Oryzias latipes: one gene and its partner. The protein of the gene in region 2 purifies or fractionates together with the protein of the main gene of each other region. This does not show direct contact. Links are inferred from orthologs where the notes say so. Each region holds a gene or a part of one and is shown on either strand. Other genes may lie near its edges. The genes, in order: rexo4 and rpl7l1.

The links.
Region 1: the proteins of rpl7l1 (region 2) and rexo4 purify together in Homo sapiens (affinity purification with mass spectrometry; 3 studies listed by BioGRID and IntAct, with this or other methods). This does not show direct contact. The link is inferred for Oryzias latipes from reciprocal best matches to the Homo sapiens genes RPL7L1 and REXO4.

What each region holds. Positions count from the first base shown.
Region 1 is NC_019877.2:8,249,395-8,253,718, reverse strand, and holds the start of rexo4 (RNA exonuclease 4), read right to left. Parts: upstream 3,080-4,324; 5' UTR 2,808-3,079; coding exon 2,592-2,807; intron 2,479-2,591; coding exon 2,159-2,478; intron 2,087-2,158; coding exon 1,940-2,086; intron 901-1,939; coding exon 707-900; intron 605-706; coding exon 516-604; intron 434-515; coding exon 359-433; intron 247-358; coding exon 172-246; intron 81-171; coding exon 1-80. Other genes in the region: pigp (phosphatidylinositol N-acetylglucosaminyltransferase subunit P), read left to right, coding at 3,612-3,693.
Region 2 is NC_019882.2:435,956-440,370, forward strand, and holds the start of rpl7l1 (60S ribosomal protein L7-like 1), read right to left. Parts: upstream 2,980-4,415; 5' UTR 2,859-2,979; coding exon 2,845-2,858; intron 2,565-2,844; coding exon 2,456-2,564; intron 2,389-2,455; coding exon 2,225-2,388; intron 1-2,224.

The DNA of each region.
Region 1 (4,324 bases), on a different chromosome or scaffold from region 2:
TTCTTGCTTGCTTTCAACTCTGCTTCCCACTGTTTTTTCACCAAAGTGTACAACCTCATGGTGGCCTGAGCATCTTGGACCTGCAACACACAGAAAATGTTTGTTTTTGTTTTTTTCAATCTCTTATCATTATCAGAATAAGAAAAATGATGTATTTTATTTCCAACTTACAGAAGAGTGTTCTCCCTGCTGCACCTTCACATGCAGGATTTCTCTGCAGAGGAGTTTCAACGAAGGTCGGCCGCTCTAAAATATAAAATCATTTATAAACTTGTTCTTATTAAGATGAGGTCTGGAACCTTCCACAGACGATCTACCAGTAAGTCTCAGTAAAAACAAAAGAACTTTCTATAATTACCCCTACAGTCTTCCGAAAGGGTTTATACTTCTGAGTGTCCCGAATGTGCTTCTTTGGATGATCCAAGAGAAGAATCTGAAACAGTTGACAGACTCTGTAAGAGGAGAGCTACAGCTGTTTTATTGGAGCACACATTTATTTTAAGGCAACACAATACCTTTAAGTCATTGTGAATTGCATGACCAACCACAATTCTTCCTTGCAGAATTTCAGCCACCTCCTTTTGCACAACATGCACATCCTCCCCTGTAAAAAAAAAAAAATCACATTTTGACACTGTTCAAAAGCACAGAGGATTGTTTGAAAGCAATAAACATCTAAGTATACAGTGATGTCTCGTTTTCTTACCATTTTTAATGTGTTCCGGTCGGATCCCACTGACAGCTGTTCTGTAGTCTGTCACCTTCTCTGTGGGTTTGACATATTTGTCATAGATGCATTTTCCAAACTGGTTCACGATGGACACACGTGCCAGGATGCTGTCCTCCCCATCTGGACCGACTCCCACCATCTCACAATCAATAGCTACAGCTTTGGTGATGCTGATATTCATACGTACAAACGTGGAGAAAACAAAAGGTCATCTAATGAAACAGTCCAGTCTTTCTGCTGCCCGTTTTAAAGTTTCTCCACAGAAATCACCTGAAACATTATTAAATCATTTTCTCTTTTGAGAGAAGTAAGAGAACATCTGATGTTATTGGGGTATAACTGACAACTATACCGATTTTTTCAAAAACTTGTTTAAAAAGGCAACGGCTGTTTTTCCAACTACTTCCACTTAGGGAGTCTGTTGGAGCCAGTCTGCTGCAGGTTGAGATGAGCATAAACTCTGCAACAGCTATGGCTGCATATTCATCAGGAAGCAATTGCGAAACAATCCGACGATTTTAAGACTCATACTTATGCCCAAAGAGAGCAACACACACGGGAAGTATCCCACTAGATTAAAGAGTTGCTAGGAATGGACTTTTTCAACACTTTTACACATCCGACCAAGAAAACAATGATGAAGAAGAGCAGCAGATGAGATTAAAACAATATACTATAATAATGATTGTTGAGCAAAAATTATCAAAAAATATCAGGACAAAAAGAAGGACTCCAAATTTGAAATATCTGGTTCTCTGTCAGCTTTAGGATCGATTTTAAGGTACTTTTCTTAGTTTAATGAAATTGCACTTTAATTTTAATCAAGCTGGTGTTAGCAGACGACCCTCCCAGAGCCCTCAGATCCAGTTATGCTGGTGCTCCCTGAGGTCATAAACAAAAACCCACAGCGAGGCCACATGGCAGAACTTTGGCCTAAACTCACCTTTTTAGTTTAGCTTTTATGTCGATTTTACATTTCCTCATGTTTTAATTTGATTTTATGGATTATTTTTTCCTGCTAGTTTTTGTACACAACATGTGTTTATTATAAATACTAATATAATTATTATTTATTTATGTAAAAGACTTTGAGGTGTTTTTTAACAGGAAAAGAGCTCTATAAAGAAAGGTGAATTTCAACTAGAGTTGATCGATAGCAAATGAAGGTGTGGCATTTTGACCGTAAGAACACAAAACAGTTTCTCTTACCCATCAAAGGCGTTCTCTTTTACCAGAACGCTATCTACGTTCTTGCTTGTTTTCATGCCTTGTTTCCTCCTCATGATCTCTGCAGCCTCGGCTCCCATCGTTTCCTCAATATCGTCAGGGTCGACGTCATCAAACCAAAGGTCCTCCCTACAGCAGCACAAGCAAAGATTACAAGGCAAACCCGAACTGAAGTCAAGTATTAGCAATAAGGATACATACTCTGTGGGTTTCCTCTCTTCAGTGACGGGCTTCTTTTTCTTGGCTGGTTTCTCATTGTCTGTCTTTTCGTTTTGCCTTTTCCTTGCACCACCAGGTTGCAGTTTGTCTAAGGCGGCGTGGATCTTTGCCTTCACCCCATCCTCCTTTGGGGCATCGCCACTTTTGACTTTTCCCTCTCTGTCTGTGTGCACCTGGCTGGGAGCAGGGCTCTTATTTTGAAACTTTTTAGGCTCATTTCCTTTAAACTTCTTAGGGAAGACACCATTCCGATGTTTTGGTGTAACAGGCTGCTTCTTCTCTGGCTGACTGCTCTTTAAGATCTGCCATGTTCAGGAAACAAAGAAGATAATTACATTTTAAAAGTAAATACATTTTCACATAAGTAGTTGCACAGCTTATGAAGAGCATAGAGTTTAATATTCGTCAGACAAACCTCTTGTAATGCTTTCCAGTTGGAAGAAAACTGTTGGGGATCCTGTGGTGGTGCAGTTTGCTTTGCTCCAGGATTTTCTAGATTTTTCTTGTTTAGAGTCTTTTGGGAAGTTTGTTTTTTACGATTATGCTTTATAAAAAACTTCTTCCTTTTTTCTTTGGACGTCAGCTGTTGCGTTTTTCCAGCAGGAGTTTCCTTTCCTTTGATTTTAGACATCGTGGTCGCACTTCTTTAAACTTCAGGGAGTATTTGCTGTGTTACACAGCCACGTTTTTGAAAGAAGCCAATTTTAGGTGAGATGTAAACGAAAACAGTTAACGCTGTGTCACATACATATGTATCCCAGATAAAGGGCACACACTGTTTCTATTAGCAAAAATAGCCACTTTATTATCCTCCCAAACAGGGAAAAATTATGTTTCAAGTTGTTTACCTTCACATTCACGAAGCCATGCTGCGGTGCTTCTGGAATGAGTAACAGTCAAATATGTTCGTCAGGAAAAAAGTAACATGATTCGTTCGAGCGGCAGAAAGTTCTCCCTTCGTTGATTTTTTTATTTCTTTCTTTTTTCAAGCTTGAAAATAGTTTTTAATATCTATACATTACTAACAAAGAACACAAGATTGATATGTAATTTTGCTTTATTTCTTTAAAGTCTTTTGTTCCTGATGTACAGTTTCTGACCGAACTCATTTAGGTGATGGACTAACGTTTTGTTGACAGCAGTCAGCTAGGTTTTGGCGTAATATGATTAGATGCACTTTTTACATTTTTATTTATGTTTCGTTTGAAATAGTAGAATTGGATTTTATCTATCGTTGAACCTAGCTGATGGTACGATATAAACAAGCTATTTGAGAAACATTTAAACTGTTTTTAGGGGTTTTTGTAAACTTGCTGCTCTTCTTACGAACCAAAATACACTTATTATCTGTCGGTAAGTTTAGTGACTTTTTGTCATTGTTTATTTTCGATTATTTTACCCAATAGATGGTCTGTTTGTGTTCTGGTTTCAGATCATGGTTGAAAACTCCCCATCACCTATGCCAGAGAGAGCAATCTATGGGTTTGTTCTCTTCCTTGGCTCCCAGTTTGGCTTCTGTAAGTTAAGTCCCATCACATCATGTTCTTTCAAATTAGAAGCATAGTTCTATTTGCAGAAGATGTCATTCAACGTAAAATGTTGTGGAATTACTTATCTCTACGGCTCTTGGTAATATAGCAAAGACATTCTGTTCCTTTTGTTTATGTTGCCATAAATCTAATCTCATTGAAATTTGTAAATGTGCAGGACGACTCACTTGAGTTAAAATAGAATAACCGTTTCTCGGTGGAGATTTAAATCTCCTTACTACTAGGGTGATAAATAGTTGACCACCTGAAAAACAGACTGCCATTAATTCAATGTGACTTCACTTAAAAAAAACAAGCCTTTTTGGATTTTTTTCTCAATAGAATTCTTTCAATAATTAGTTTTTTTTAAGTTATTTATATCTCAAGGTATACATTAGTAAAAGGTTATTGTGTTTATATATATTTTTAAAAATTCAGCTGAAAGATGGCAGGATGGTAGTGACTTAAATATTGTAAATTACTTTAAAACGCTAGTTGTGTGTTGTTGTTGTTTTGGGTAAAAAGTAGGATTTTTTTAATAGGCCTGTTATGTTCATATTTAGGCTTAAAACTACACAATTTAATAAGTCGGCAAAATTGTATTAAGCCAAATGAAGAA
Region 2 (4,415 bases):
TTCCACTGTGGATAACCTGACGTTCCTCTGTGGATAACCTGACGTTCCTCTGTGGATAACCTGACCTTCCACTGTGGATAACCTGACGTTCCTCTGTGCATAACCTGACGTTCCTCTGTGCATAACCTGACGTTCCTCTGTGCATAACCTGACGTTCCTCTGTGCATAACCTGACGTTCCTCTGTGCATAACCTGACGTTCCTCTGTGCATAACCTGACGTTCCTCTGTGCATAACCTGACGTTCCTCTGTGCATAACCTGACGTTCCTCTGTGCATAACGTCCTGTGCATAACCTGACGTTCCTCTGTGCATAACCTGACGTTCCTCTGTGCATAACCTGACGTTCCTCTGCGTTTAACCTGACGTTCCTCTGTGCATAACCTGACGTTCCTCTGCGTTTAACCTGACCTTCCACTGTGGATAACCTGACGTTCCTCTGTGGATAACCTGACGTTCCTCTGTGCATAACCTGACGTTCCTCTGTGCATAACCTGACGTTCCTCTGCGTTTAACCTGACGTTCCTCTGTGCATAACCTGACGTTCCTCTGCGTTTAACCTGACCTTCCACTGTGGATAACCTGACGTTCCTCTGTGGATAACCTGACGTTCCTCTGTGGATAACCTGACGTTCCTCTGTGGATAACCTGACCTTCCACTGTGGATAACCTGACCTTCCACTGTGGATAACCTGACGTTCCTCTGTGGATAACCTAACCTTCCTCTGTGCATAACCTGACGTTCCTCTGTGCATAACCTGACGTTCCTCTGTGGATAACCTGACGTTCCTCTGTGGATAACCTGACGTTCCTCTGTGCATAACCTGACGTTCCTCTGTGCATAACCTGACGTTCCTCTGCGTTTAACCTGACGTTCCTCTGTGCATAACCTGACGTTCCTCTGCGTTTAACCTGACCTTCCACTGTGGATAACCTAACCTTCCTCTGTGGATAACCTGACGTTCCTCTGTGGATAACCTGACGTTCCTCTGTGGATAACCTGACGATCCTCTGTGGATAACCTGACGATCCTCTGTGCATAACCTGACGTTCCTCTGCGTTTAACCTGACGTTCCTCTGTGCATAACCTGACGTTCCTCTGTGCATAACCTGACGTTCCTCTGCGTTTAACCTGACGTTCCTCTGTGCATAACCTGACGTTCCTCTGTGCATAACCTGACGTTCCTCTGTGGATAACCTGACGTTCCTCTGTGGATAACCTGACGTTCCTCTGTGGATAACCTGACGTTCCTCTGTGCATAACCTGACGTTCCTCTGTGCATAACCTGACGTTCCTCTGTGCATAACCTGACGTTCCTCTGCGTTTAACCTGACGTTCCTCTGTGCATAACCTGACATTCCTCTGTGCATAACCTGACGTTCCTCTGTGCATAACCTGACGTTCTTCTGTGCATAACCTGACGTTCCTCTGTGCATAACCTGACGTTCCTCTGCGTTTAACCTGACGTTCCTCTGTGCATAACCTGACGTTCTTCTGTGCATAACCTGACGTTCCTCTGTGCATAACCTGACGTTCCTCTGTGCATAACCTGACGTTCCTCTGTGCATAACCTGACGTTCTTCTGTGCATAACCTGACGTTCCTCTGTGCATAACCTGACGTTCCTCTGTGCATAACCTGACGTTCCTCTGTGCATAACCTGACGTTCTTCTGTGCATAACCTGACGTTCCTCTGTGCATAACCTGACCTTCCACTGTGGATAACCTGACGTTCCTCTGTGGATAACCTGACGTTCCTCTGTGGATAACCTGACATTCCTCTGTGCATAACCTGACCTTCCACTGTGGATAACCTGACGTTCCTCTGTGGATAACCTGACGTTCCTCTGTGGATAACCTGACATTCCTCTGTGCATAACCTGACCTTCCACTGTGGATAACCTGACGTTCCTCTGTGGATAACCTGACGTTCCTCTGTGGATAACCTGACCTTCCACTGTGGATAACCTGACCTTCCACTGTGGATAACCTGACCTTCCACTGTGGATAACCTGACGATCCTCTGTGGATAACCTGACGTTCCTCTGTGCATAACCTGACGTTCCTCTGTGCATAACCTGACGTTCCTCTGTGCATAACCTGACGTTCTTCTGTGCATAACCTGACGTTCCTCTGTGCATAACCTGACGTTCCTCTGTGCATAACCTGACGTTCCTCTGCGTTTAACCTGACGTTCCACTGTGGAGGAGGTGCAGGTCCACTCACTCTCTGATGCGGACGGCAAAGGCCAACTTGTTCCCCGCCGGGGGCAGAGCAGGCGCCGGCCGGTGTTTGGATCTCCGGATCCGGGTCTCGTCTCGGTGCTTGATGTGTCCATCCTTCAGGAAATCCTCCAGACGCTTGAAGTTTAGTGGCTTCCCTCTAGCGACCTGAAGAGAAATGTTACAGGACGGGCCCCTTGTTTGTAGTCCAGGCCAACAGGACTACATTACCCACCTTCCTCTTCTCCAGCAGTGCGAGCTTGGCCTGGGTGGCTTTGATGGCCTGATAGGCTTTCCTCTTCTTCAGGAGGAACTCTGGGACCAGCTTGATGACCTTCTGGGACCTGCAGCAGCAGGACAGCAGACGTTTGTGTTTCCGCTCAAACAGCTGATCGACCTTCAGCATAAAAATGTCACAGATGCGTGTTTTTGGCACCGAAACAGCTGTCCCCGTGCGGGGTTTTGGAAACCCTTATAAAATTCATTTGAGCTCCGTAATGGAGGATCGTGAACGGACCCCCCCCCCCCCCTCAATGAAAGCCGGCTGGCTGATACCGCGGTCACACGGACCATTAGACGGACACAGACCGAGGATGGACGAGGATGAAAGACCAAAACACTCACTCCGGTTCAGCCATGATTCCGCTCGTCTCCTTCCGGCTCACTCTTCTTCTTGTGCTTTTATTGGCGGGAGGCACCAGCGTAAAGGTGCATTACCGCCACCTACTGCGTTGGAGTGTGGGTCAGAGTGGGGACTACCTACCAACCATACCGGAAAAAAACAAAACAAAAACACCCTTAGATTCTCCTCAATAACCAGAGGCCTGTTGCACAAAATTAGAATTAAGACATCCGGGATAAATGACTGAGCTGAGCTCAATGAAGCCAAAAGATGTGCTTCCAGGCTTAATTGGTTGCACAAAGACCAAGCCAGGATGAGCAGACACGGATTCATTTAGCCAGGTGTAACCAATCCTGGGGGGTATTCCAGAAGGCAGGTTCTGCTAGCTCCCACGATAAGTTTGAGGCTAAGGAAGTGGATAACCTCAGCTTTCAGTTCCAGAAATGGAGGTATGTTTCAGGGTAGATCAAGTTACCATGGCAACTCATGCTCTGAACATAACCTGGTCTGGAGCAGGTTTAGTTGAAGGTTAGTTTGTTTTCAGAGAGGTGAAGCAGCATGGCGTGTCCATTTGAAGATGATTTAGTGGATGAAGAAGCTCAGATAATACTTTTTCCACCATGAGAGGGTGATAAGACCACAAATGGATGTTGGAAAGAGAAACTTTTACTTTGATCTAACTTAATTATTTGCTTCAGTTAAGATAAACCATTTTTTGTTAGGTCACCTTAAAAATAACACATAGTTTTTTAGACAATTATTTTCCTTTCGTTCAAATTAATTCAATTAAGTAGGTGTAACTTTGGTGCTGCTGTTAGATCGGCACCGCAAGGGATTCTGGGATATCATTCCCTTTGCCTGTCTGGACGGATTTGGGTTTTTTCATTTTCATTTTTCATTCATTTATTTATTCATGAAAATTGATGTTCAAATATTTACATGTTTCTCTTACATATTGAACATTTTCATGATTAGAAGGGAGCAGAATTGAAGAACACAATTCTTATAATTATCTGCTCCCTTTTAAACATCATATTTACATTTCTCTCACCATCACCTGTGCTCAGATTTCACAATGTACAGTTTAAACACTACACAGTAAATACATTCCATTCATTTAATTCATACATTCCAAACATTCCATTCAACAGTCAAGTTTGTACAAACTAATTTGTTTAGCTTTATACATCCGTTTAACTTGAATAATATTTTGACCACGTTTTAACTGATTCTCCTGGGAATTCCACATTTTTACCTCTGCTATAGACAAACACTTTTGCTTTAATGTTGTTCCAGCAATCTGTTGTTTGAAATCAAATTTTCTCCTATGATTTTCATCTCCTGTGGTAAAAATAAAAAGCTTTTATGAGTCTTCTGGTAAATCTCTGTTTCTGGCTTTAAATATAACTAATAAGGTCTGCAATTCAATTATGTTTTTAAGTTGTTATAAACCTGACTTAATGAAAAGTTCATTTGTGTGATCTCTAAAATTAGCTTTATGAACAATAGTAGCTCTCTTCTGTAATAGAATTAAGGACATTATATTAGTTTCATATGTATTTCCCCACACTTC